Linked DNA regions of Alligator mississippiensis. The protein of the gene in region 2 purifies or fractionates together with the protein of the main gene of each other region. This does not show direct contact. Links are inferred from orthologs where the notes say so. Each region holds a gene or a part of one and is shown on either strand. Other genes may lie near its edges. The genes, in order: SPSB3, CUL5 and TULP4.

What was found.
Region 1: the proteins of CUL5 (region 2) and SPSB3 purify together in Homo sapiens (affinity purification with mass spectrometry; 4 studies listed by BioGRID and IntAct, counting the BioPlex papers as one, with this or other methods). This does not show direct contact. The link is inferred for Alligator mississippiensis from reciprocal best matches to the Homo sapiens genes CUL5 and SPSB3.
Region 3: the proteins of CUL5 (region 2) and TULP4 purify together in Homo sapiens (affinity purification with mass spectrometry; 4 studies listed by BioGRID and IntAct, counting the BioPlex papers as one, with this or other methods). This does not show direct contact. The link is inferred for Alligator mississippiensis from reciprocal best matches to the Homo sapiens genes CUL5 and TULP4.

The regions. Positions count from the first base shown.
Region 1 is NC_081836.1:29,583,600-29,587,346, forward strand, and holds the start of SPSB3 (SPRY domain-containing SOCS box protein 3), read right to left. Parts: upstream 2,798-3,747; 5' UTR 2,706-2,797; intron 2,681-2,705; exon of another isoform or gene 1-2,680. Other genes in the region: cytosolic Fe-S cluster assembly factor NUBP2, read left to right, coding at 3,237-3,255.
Region 2 is NC_081824.1:437,106,325-437,110,071, forward strand, and holds the start of CUL5 (cullin-5), read right to left. Parts: upstream 2,785-3,747; 5' UTR 2,585-2,784; coding exon 2,561-2,584; intron 1-2,560. UniProt on the Homo sapiens protein: Core component of multiple cullin-5-RING E3 ubiquitin-protein ligase complexes (ECS complexes, also named CRL5 complexes), which mediate the ubiquitination and subsequent proteasomal degradation of target proteins.
Region 3 is NC_081824.1:136,414,524-136,418,270, reverse strand, and holds the start of TULP4 (tubby-related protein 4), read right to left. Parts: upstream 2,998-3,747; 5' UTR 2,817-2,997; intron 1-2,816. UniProt on the Homo sapiens protein: May be a substrate-recognition component of a SCF-like ECS (Elongin-Cullin-SOCS-box protein) E3 ubiquitin ligase complex which mediates the ubiquitination and subsequent proteasomal degradation of target proteins.

The DNA.
Region 1 (3,747 bases), on a different chromosome or scaffold from region 2:
ATTCCTCCACCTCAGTAGGAAACCTGTTCCAATGAAACTTGTCTTTTTCTAATGAACAAAAGAGCATTCTTCTGCGCATGCCACCTGCCCTGGGACTTCATCATTCTCCATTCTGTTTCATGCAAATTCTGACAGACACTCCTCTCTTGGCTTCTTCACCTGGACAACTTACACCCAGCTTGCTGCTGTGGGTAATTCCACAAACACAGACTGATCAGTTTTGAATGTTAAAGAAAAGCAGCTACAGGAAAATAAGTGCGTCCATCTTTATGCAGACAAGGTTCCTTGGGTGAATTTGATATCTTTTATTAGACCAACCCAAATGGTTGGAGAATAGTTATTGAGCAAGCTTTCGGGTTCAAAAACCCTTCGTCAGGCTAAGGAAGCTGCAGCAGTTGGTGTGTTCTCTATGCAGCAGTTCTCTGTGCTTCTCTACATCCCACTTCTCCAACCCCACGGAATGCCCAGAGGTAACAAAGGAGCACTGTCCGCAACATGGGAACTGAAAACTATTGCCAAACTACCTCTTCTGCAACAGATGAAGTGATCCTGTGGTCTCTTAGTGCATGTGTGAAGAGATCAAAAATGCTGATCCAAGCAGGATCTGATCCACAAGACCCTGTGGGAATGGTTATGATTTAAAAATTCCTTCCTAACCCTTACATGCCCAGTTGATTCTGATCCATCATGAAAACCTCTCATATGGAACTGGAATCTACTGTACAGAGAGGTGAACCAATGGAGGTTGATGTTTTATTATGTAGAAACACTTCAAAGTGCAAGTGTGAGTATTTGTTAACCCCTTAAACTACTGCCAAAATGTGTACATCTCACCAGCAATTATCTGTGGAAAAGTACAGGAACGTACCGATGAGTTCATTTAGGGAAAAGAGTGCTTAAGATTAGCTTTAAGGAAGTGTTCATCCCCATGAATACTTTGTCCTTTTCAGTACATGGACGGCCTAGTTTAGACTGTTTCAGTTTCATTGGCAGTGACTAAAGATCAAATGGCTTTGCTGTTTTAGTTTTGTCAGCAGCATCTGTAAAGATAGGCAGTCAGACATGAGTCACTATTTATCTGACGACCATAGTGGAAAACTGCTCCTTCCGAGAAGGCTCTTGTCTAGAAACCAGAAGGGTCTAATCCAGGGGTGGACAAAATAAGGCTCGTGGGCTGGATCCAGCCCGCCAAAGGATTCTAACCAGCCCATGGCAGGTCCCTCAACCAGGCCTGGCCCAGGCACAGGGGGCAGCCCAGGCCATGACACACGTGACCAGTCCCACCGTCCCGGGTGCAGAGGTGCCACCTGGTGCAGCCCACCCTATCTGTGTGCACAGCTCTCCTCTCTCTAAAAACTCTGGTCTTTGCTTTTCAGTCATGGGTGATGTAGTAGTTCCAACTCCTGCAGCATCTAGCTATGGATGGGAGACTCATGACTCATGGACAGGAGAACTGACACAAATATAAAAGGCCGTGTGACCAATAACAGTGAAATGGAGGCCAAAGGGGTCAAAGAAAACAACCAAAGAAAGTCACCTAGTACAAAACTGAACATTCGGAGAAAGTCAGCCCTTCACTTCACTTCACTGGATGCTCTCACTACACCTACAGCAGCTGATGACATAGCAAAGACCATATCTTTTTCACCGCTGTAGAGGTGCTGTGCTAGGACTAAGCAAAGCCACTGGGCAACCAAAGTTAGTGCAGAGTGAGTGCTAACGTGCTTAGCAAATGTGTCTTGCCCACAGAACCTTATGTCCCAGCTCCAGAGGCCAGCCTGGCTCCTTCCTCGCCGAGTCCCGGGTATTTCATCCCTTCCACTTCCATTAATCCAGAAGCTGAGGCCAGACAGCCGCTCCAACCAGCAGTGCCTGCACTTGTGATGTCTGGGCCTTAATGTTCTTACTGCAGGAGGTGGGGAATCCGCTTAAACTCGCTGCCTTAGCCTGGCAGAGGCTGCATTTGTTTGCATCCAGGGACTCTGCAGCCTCTTCTCACCCAGGATTTCCCACAGGGGAAGATTAGAGTTGGGGCTGAGGGAGAATTTTTCCTCTCACTGTCCCCCAACCCACTCCCCTGTTTAATGTGAGAGAGAAACAGCAAGGGAGGAGCCGACTGTGGCAGGCCCAGCATCAGTGCAGCTGTCAGTGCAGCGCACACCTTTTTGAGAGAGGGGAAGGGCCGAGAAGAGGGGCCCAGTGCCACGTACTCCCCGCCCCAAGACTCGTGCAAGAGCCAGAGGAGGCTCCGCTCAGCCGCCCCTGCCCCGGATCCCGCCGGAACGGGACCCCCCAGGCGCTGGAGGCCCCGAGGAGGCCGAGCCCAGGCCGGGGGCTGCTGCGCTGCGCGCGGGGGAGCGGCACCTGCCCGCAGAGCGGAGCCGGGAGCGGCAGAGCCCGGGGCTGCAGGGCCGGGCTCGGAGCGGCCCGCGGCAGCACAGCCCAGCCCGGCCCGGCGCCGGCCACGCCGAGGTCACGACGCACATGGGAGCGGGGCGCGGCGGGACTTCGTCGCACGGAGACGGAGTCCGCACGCCCGGGCCCCGACCCCGACCCGCTCCCGCCGAGGGCGGCCGAGGAGCCCCGAGGCGTGACCGGTCGCAGCGGCGTCCGTCATCGCGGCCTGTAACAGCGCGAAGTCTTGGGTCCGGGCCGCGCGGAGCCCGGGGCGGCCAGAACGCCCCTCCCCGCCCCGCTCCGCTCACCTGTCCCCCGGCCTCGCGCCGCCGCTCGCCCGGCAGTGCCCTACTTTCCCCTCCTGAGACATAAACAATCCGCGCTGCGCACCGCCCCCTCCGCTCCCATTGGCTGTGGCCCCCCCCCCCCGAGGGTTCCGCCCCCACTCCGAGCCCGCGTTTGCCGTTGGGCGGCTCGCCCATCGCTCCGCGCTCGGGGGGCGGAGACTAGGCCGACACGCTCTCTTGCTATTCCCTTTCTGTCCCGTCAGTTTTCAGGGCGCGGCATCATTGGAGGATCATCTCAAGACGCCAAACAGAGGGGCTTCGAGCGCGGTCACGTGGCAACTGCAGAGCGCAGAGGCCTTTGGCAGAGAAACGTGCCTGTCAGCAGGTCAGGTCGGGGTTGAGTTCCAACGAGCGTCTTTGATTGGCCCGTGCGAGCCGCGGCACATGCCGGGGGGGTGGAATTAAGTCTGGAGCGCGCCTTTCCATTGGCGGCCGCGCCCATCAATCTCGGTGGCCCGGGAAAGGCGGAAGTATAAGGGCGCCGGACGCAGCATGGAGGAGACGGCGGGCGGTGAGTGGTTTGGTCTCTCAGCTGCACTGGGGCTTTCATGCCGCCGCAGCGAGTTTCTCGGGGCCTGGGCAAGGCGGCGGGGTCCTGAGTACTCTGCCCGGCGTGCTGCGTCCTTCCCCCTGCCGCGCGCTGGGAGGTGGCTGTGGCAGCCCGCGGCCGGCTCCGCTCCGTGTGGCCGCGCGCAGCCTCCCGGTAGCCGAGCCCCCGCTCCTCACTTCTGCCCCCCCCCCCCCCCGCCCCCGGTGCGCTGCCACACAGCCGGCGCCCGGACGAAAGGGGCCGGCAGTCGTGGGGCAGGAAACCTGCGCCCGTGACGGCCTCCCGTAAGCCCTGGAGAGAGGCCGCGGCGCTGAGCTGCGCGTTACCTTTGGTGGACATCCTGATGACTTCTCCCATGGTCAGACCAGCCTCCATGCTGAGGGGGAGTTCTCGCTGTCTGCGGCCTGGTACCTGCTGTCACAGGACCTTGTAGGCTCCTTTCCTGATTATGGA
Region 2 (3,747 bases):
CTGGCCTAGAAGTCAGGAGACCTAAATTCTATTCTTGGCTCTGCTGCTGACCTACTGTGGGACTGTAGGCAAATCACATCACCCTTCTATGCCTGTTCTTCCTACTCTTTGTCTTATCTGTTTCATCTCTAAGCTCTTTGGGGCAAGGAGAGTCTTCTTCAGTGTACATACAAAGCCCAGCACAATGAGGTCCTGATCTCAGCTGGAGTCTCTAAGTGAAACCTGTAAACACCTAAAAAGAGACACACATTTGATTACTTTGGTGTAGCTAGCAGTTGGGGTTTTTATTTTTACTTAATAATAATAATAATACTGTCTTGTGCCAACCTAAGAGATTAATTTATTGGCGAGATATATGGCTTAAAAGTGCTTAAATCTAACATGCAATCAATCACCACCTGTCCTAACCAGCAACTCTTACAACTGGTAGTGCAGCTACAGTGGTTACCACACAAAGCAAATAGGAAGGAGAGTGGGGCTTTAAATGTATGAAGTGGTAATTAATCAGAACTACAAAAGAGTTCATTACATAACTACAGTTAGCACGAACTATTTGCTGACATCTTAGGCAATCCTTAAAAGAAACAAGTCAGCAAGAGGTATCCAAAGAACAGAGCCAGAAATATTAGTTGAAAGCTGAAGAGTCTATGCGTGTCTGGTGTGGTCCAGGTTGATCAGACAAGAGACGGGGATGAAAGAGAACAGCTCAAACAAGCGGACCAGTAAACGGGATGAGATTAACTACTTAAAAAGGGAAAGAAACACAAAAGGGCAGGAATTAGTTTAAACCCCATCCTGCAATAGACTTTCCCCTCCATACAGTGCCCTACTGACTCCAATGAAACTGTACCGATGATACAGCCTGCTTGCACCGACTCTCAGGCCTTGTCTTTACTAGGATTAAAGTAGGGTTAACTAAACCTGACACACTCAATCACATGGTCTTCTGTACATGTCCCCTAAAAATGCCTGCTCTTGACCTTTTCTTTCCTATCTTTTAGGGCCATCCCTCCAATTTCCAGAAAGTTTAAAGAGATATACATATCATATTCTGGAAGGGTATAAATGTACTGCAAAGCAAGCTTCACTTCATGCTAGTATGCTTTATGGAGAACAGTTTGCTAAGCATCAGGAAGGAGTTTCTATTTATTGGATCAAACTCTTGTGCAACTTTTAGCAGTTTTTGTTGCCTCAGTTTCCTCTTTGTAAGAGGCCTTATATTTGGCTGCCTTTTATAAAGCTCTCTCAACTGTTCTGATGAAAAGTTACTACTTAATTTTACTTATTTAAAAGCACTGTAAGACATCAGTAATGCCTCTTTCAGTCATATTTCTATACCACCTTTGCCAAGAAAGCATCACTGTATATTTAGAATACAACTGCAACTGTTCTTTGAAATGAAATGTTTATGAAAAAGTCATCACGCTACACCTAAGCCTGCTGCCATGCAGAGCTCCCTGAACGGTTAATGCCTTACACTGTTCTCTCACTTAGTAGAAGCATTGTTTTCCAGTAGAATACAGTCAAATCCGGTGGGCCAAGTGTCCTTACATCTGCTTAAAGGCTGTGTAATTCTGTTTCCACAAAGGAAGTGTGTCAGTATCCAATAACTCCCAAGCACGCTGCAAGTAACATCACACGGCGAAAGAGCAATGATCAAATGGGACACTCTAGAGGTGTCAAACTCATCTGACCCTGGGGCAGCATTAACCCCCATGGATACTGGCTCCTCTGACAGTGTAGCTCTGGCAGTTAAGGGGGAAGGTTAATACTGTCATCATCGCAGACCTGCATCCTCAGCAAGGATCCTAAGTTGGGAATCTGGCAACAGGGTAAGCAACAGCAGTGTTAACCCCCGGCCTGGGGGCTGATACAGCAGCCACGGGGGTTGACCACTACTGCTGCCTGCCCCACTGCCCGCACGTCTAGCCCCACAGGCGGGATCCGGAGACCGCAAGAAGCCCTGTAGGCCGCATGACCCACCTCTGCAGGCCAGATTCGACTGTGACACACCACACCGTCCATACACCACGTGCTGAAACACCACTCATCAAAACAGTACTCAACTTGCTCTCCACATCCCTGGCGTTGCTTCTCAGGAGACCACCAGGTTTGTGCAACTCCCTACCCCGCCCCACGGGTCAAGCGATCGGAGCCACATCCTCTGCCCCCGTCCGGGAACTTGGCACCCCTTCTCCTCCGGGTGCCAAGCCCCCGTGACTCGGCCCTTTCGCAAGAGGTCCCCAGCCCTCAAGGCCGCTCCTTCCCCAGCAGAGAGCAGGGCAATGTGCCCCTCGCCCCCGGCCGCAGGTCGCCTGGCACCAGGCGCCGTAACAGGTTGGCAGGAGCCACCCAGGGAAGAACAGGGCTGCAGCTCCGGCCCCCGCTCCCGTGCTACCCACGAAACAGCTCCGAGACCCCCCCACCCTGCTCGCGGGCCCCACGCCGGGAGCCCCGGGCCGGGTCGGGCCGGGCCTTGCGGGCGGCGCTGACCGCGGGGCAGCGGCCAGGCCCGGCGGCTCTTTGTTCCCCGCGGGGCCCGGCCCGGCGCCGCTCTCACCTTTAGGAGATTAGACGTCGCCATGTTGCCCCGCGGGCCCCGGGCGGCGGCGCTCCCGGGCCGGGGCTGGGCTGGGCTCGGGCCGCCCCCGCTTTACATGGCCCCGCGCGACCCGCCCCTGCCCCCGCGGCTCCGCTCGGGGCTCCGGAGCGGCCGGCTCGGTGCTGCCCCCCCCGCCGCCGCTGCTCAGCGCCTCATGGCGGCGCCCGCCCAGGACACACGGCCGCGGCCCGGCTCCATGCGAGGGGCGGGCACGTGAGGCGGCGCCGCCACGGAGCGCGCGGGGGGGCGGGGCGGGGGGCCTACGGCGGCGGCAGCGCCCTCTGCCGCCCGGCGGCCGCCTCGCCGGCACCCCGGCCCAGAGCCCGCGGGAGCCCCCGCCCCCGCCCCCGGCAGCAGGCGTGGCGTCGGGCCGGGCCTTGGGCGGGGTGAGCGGGGTGAGGTCGGGCCCGTGCACCCCCGGCCCTTCTGGATCCGGCGCACTGCGGAGCCCGGTCCAGCTGCTGCTTTGCACACAGCACCTGTGCAGGGCGGATCTGCCACCCGCTGCATGTGTGTGTGGTGCCCACCCGGGTCCCCTGGAGCACGTGCCACGTGCAGCGCAGAGCCTGGCCTGGCCGGAGCCGGCCCCACATGCAGTCCAGCCCTGTACTGGTTCCTTCGTGGGCTCTGGGCCGTGCAATCCTGCATCCGCTGGTGGGGTCCAGTCGGGTACAGGCTGCATGCAGAGACCAGGTCAACACCGCAGCACCGGGGCCGAATGATGGGGCGCCACTGGCCGGATCCAACACGTGCGCCACGTCTTTGACACCCCTGCTCTTAGGGAACCCCTCCATCTATCATTGCTCCTTGGCCCTCTCCATCTTTCCCAGGGAGACCTCATCCCCTTCCAGTCTCCCAACCAGGAAGGTCATAATTTGCTGAGGACTCAGCATTTTTTTAAAATTCTTGGGAATGGTAATGCTGTGGTTGAATACAAGTTACTTTCAAATTAGAATGGTTGTTTTCTGTTAGATTAATTTGGGCTTTGATTTAAAAAAAATATTTTTAGATACTGAAAACTTAATTTGCCCAATTTTTTCCCAAAACTTAAATATTTCAAACAAGTTACTGCTTTCCACAAAACATGTTGGCTTTGTTAAAGGTTTGTTTGTTTGTTTAATGAAAAATCCATTTAGGTGAAAAAA
Region 3 (3,747 bases), about 300 Mb from region 2:
TGTGAAGGGGGGTCACCAAGTACTGCCCCAGGGAGGAAGCCCCAGCTCATGGAAATCTGATCTGACCTCTTACCTTGTTCTCCCTCCACCCCATCCTAGACCTCATTCCTGGACCCATCCATGCCCTGTGACCTGCCTAGCTGCCATGTGCTCTGCAGACTGTTTGCATGGGATTGCACCCCAGGAGTGGGAAAGTCACACCCCCGTGGGCAGGAGAGGGAGTTGGCTTGGTGCCAGAACCGTCCCCTAGGCAGTAGAGTTTATTCACACAGACATGGAGGATGTGGGAGAGGACAGTGCATCCTGGGATGCTAGAGGACTACAACTTGGGCAGCTCATCTGTGGGGAGTGCCCATACATTAATGGAACATGAGTAGATAACAAGGATCAGTGATAAACCTGCCCTGGTGTGGCATAACTTTAAGCCGCCTAAAGTGTGCTTAAAAGTAGGTTCAGATGTTAATGCGTGGACAATCCAGGGGTTAATAACTCCAGGAGCCACCTAAAAAGTAGTGGGTAACAAGGCCCTTAGATAAAGAAATGGATAATGATGTGTCTTCAGTCAAGTTCCCATCCTGAATAAGAAGTGGATAATATTCTTCATTCTCTTATTTATTTCACACACACAGAGATACAATCAGGTGGCTCACCAGAACAAAAGCAAGTACAGATCTGAACTTATCCACTGTGTTTGCTGGTATTTTTTATCTACTAATAAGTAGATCCCCTTTGTGTAAATCCAGTTTATTTCAGGCCAGGAGTCCCCTATTTATTGAATAAAGGTTTCAGGAGCAAGGTATTAGCTGGTACCTCTAAAAAATACCATATTTTACTATTTCACAAAATCTGTAGCTCTATTGATATAACTGTAACAATTCTACCAGAATTCTTATTTTAATGAGACCTCTTTTCCATTAGTAAATCTGTCTTTTAAAATACAAAATTAAGTCTATCTAATCAAGGTTAAAAGCTCAACACTAGATGTTCAGGGTTCTTACTTTATTCATATAATCATCTCCAAAGCTGTAAATATAAAATCATACAGTAAAGAACACTTGTTATTTTAATGTCATATACCACATATCATGAAACAGATACTTTAAGTTCAAAGTCCTACGCTTCACCATGAGTCTGTGAAGGCTGCTATTTAGAACTGATCTCACTAGTTTACAGCTTCAATATGCAATTCCCAGTTGCATGCACACCCCTTACCAAAATCTCATTTAAAAATACTGTGCGTGGCTCATAGATGGGTATTCCTTGGGCAGGCACTTTTCACCCTGGCAAAATGGACTTGCCTACCAAACTGTATCACTGCAATACATTTCTAAAGGACAAATTAAAAAAAAAAATCAGTTCTCTCTTTTCAAGGTAAAAAAATTATTCCTGCACTTTGCAGGACACCCCACTCAAGTGTTTACCTTGAACACAGGCATTTACTGAAACACGTAGTGTAAGCATACAAGGTGGTGGAAGAAGGGGGAAGAAGGGGAACGAGTTACATTTGACAGGCAAAAATCTTCCCTATCACTGAATAAATTTCCTAACCCCAGAGTGAAAGAAGGTCATGGACAAAACCCAATGTTACAGATACTGCATGGAAGGCTAGAGCTGAAACAGGATCACATTACTCCAGCTTCCCACACACAAGCCAGCACAAAAGCACCCAGCTGCTTACTCTATCCTGTCCTTCTCCATATATTCTAGATGCAAGCCAGCACCAGAAATATCCTCCCTAATAGATTCGAATTGCAGGATTAACACCATTTAAAATTGAGAGAGATAAAAGGTTTAGGGAGGCAATGACATCTACCAGACGGCTAAACAGCGTTGCTCACATTTCCATCCATCTAACACCATAAGGTAAATTAAATCAGTTCAGTTTCTCTGGCAAATCTTCTTCCTTCTCCAGCTACCCTCCCTTAGTGTTTTGAGTGGCGGCTAGCAGGGGGAAAGTTGCTCTGTCTCAAGCTGTTACAAATCAGGAGCACAAAACAACTAGCTAAAATAATACTGAGGATTAGGTATTATTATTATTATTATTATTATTATTAACAAAAATAAAAGATCTCCTTTATCCAACGGCAGGAAACAAGGCTTCTTTCCAAAGGCTCCTGAATCTGTTTTATTTCACACGCACAGAGCTACAATCAGGTGGCCCACCAGAACAAAAGAAAGCATGGACTCGAAGCTGCATGTGTATGCATCCGTGTGTGCCTCTGTGTCTGTGCGCCTGTTTGTGTGTCTACGTGTGTCTATTTTTGTGTCCATGTGCACGCGCAAGAGAGCATCCCTGTGCGCACAGGAATGTCTCCATGCACGACCCTGCATGTACACGGACGTGTGCATTTGCGTGACTGCTCGTGCACAAGAGTGTCTTTGTCCAGGCATGATTCTGTGTGCGTGTGAGAGTCCATGCACGTGTGCGTGTCTCTGTGCACCCTGCAAGCGGGCACATGCAAGGCTGCGCTATTCCATGCGCACGCGGGACTATCTCGTGCCTGCCTGCAGGGGTGTCCCCGTTGCATGCGAGAGGCTCCGTGTGCACGCATGTGAGCGTGTCTGCCTACATGTCTGGCTCCGCGTCTGTGCGTGTCTGTGTCTCCGCGCGTGTGCGTGTCAGGCTCCACCATCCCCGCTGCCCGCTCCCTGATCCATACCCCCCCCTTTCCCAGGCAAGCTCGGCAGAGCAGCGCACCCGGACACCAGCCCCAACCCCCAGAAGAGGAGCTCCGTCCGACCCCCCCCCCGCCCCGCGCCGCTGTTGCTATGCGCTGCGCCCCGGCATCCCCCGTCGCCGCCGCGCTCAGTCTCACCTGCCCCGGGCGCCGCGGGCAGCCGGCCCGGCCCGGCCCAAGCCCCGCGCCCCTCGCCCGTGCCCGCAGCTCTGCTTCGCTCGGCTCCGTGTACGTCCCAGCCGCCTGCCGCCCGCCCGCGCCGGCCCTCCCTGCTGCCGAGGCGGCTGCCGCTGGGCCTGGCTCCCCCTCCACGTGACGCGACCACATGACCCGAAACACTTCCCCCGAGCCCCGCGCGTCTCCTCCTCCTCCTCCTTCCGCGCCACCGCCCGGCCCGGCTCGGCCCGGCCCGGCCCTGTCCTGTCCTCATGGACTTCCCCCCCCCATCCCGGTGTGTGTGTGTGGTTCCCATGGAAGGGTCCCAGGAAGTGGCACCACAGGCACTGGCTTTGTTTGAATGTGAGGGGATGATGCCAGGCGGGAAAAGAGGACGCCTGGCTGACCCCAAGGGTGGAAGCAGGAGTCAGCCCTGCGCTCCCCACAATTACCTCAGGGCTGGGCTGGAAGCGTGCCGTGTGCAAAGCAGCTGGGGTTCTTGTGCCCCCCGGTAGAGGCAGTTCTAAGGTGCCACCAAATCACCGTACAGCTAGCTTAAGGCTGGCACCCCTGTTTCTGCAGCCAAAAGGCAGGTGAGGGAACGATGTGGTTAACGTGATGGGCCGAAGCCTTGGATTCCTCAGCTCAGGCAACTGGGTGGCTCACAGCTGGGTCAGTTGAGTAGAAGGCTGGACTAGGTGACTTGATGGTGGACATAAGCTAAGGGACTTTGAAGAACTAGATAGATTTGAGCAGGAGGCTGGACCAGGATGACTTCGTGATGGACATGAGCTAGAGGACCTTGCGATGGACTTGAGCTGGACTAGAAGGGCCCTTCTGAGGTCCTTTACAGCCCTTTCCTATTATGTTAATTAGGTACAGCCTTTGGACATGAGACCAGTGCGGAGGCTCA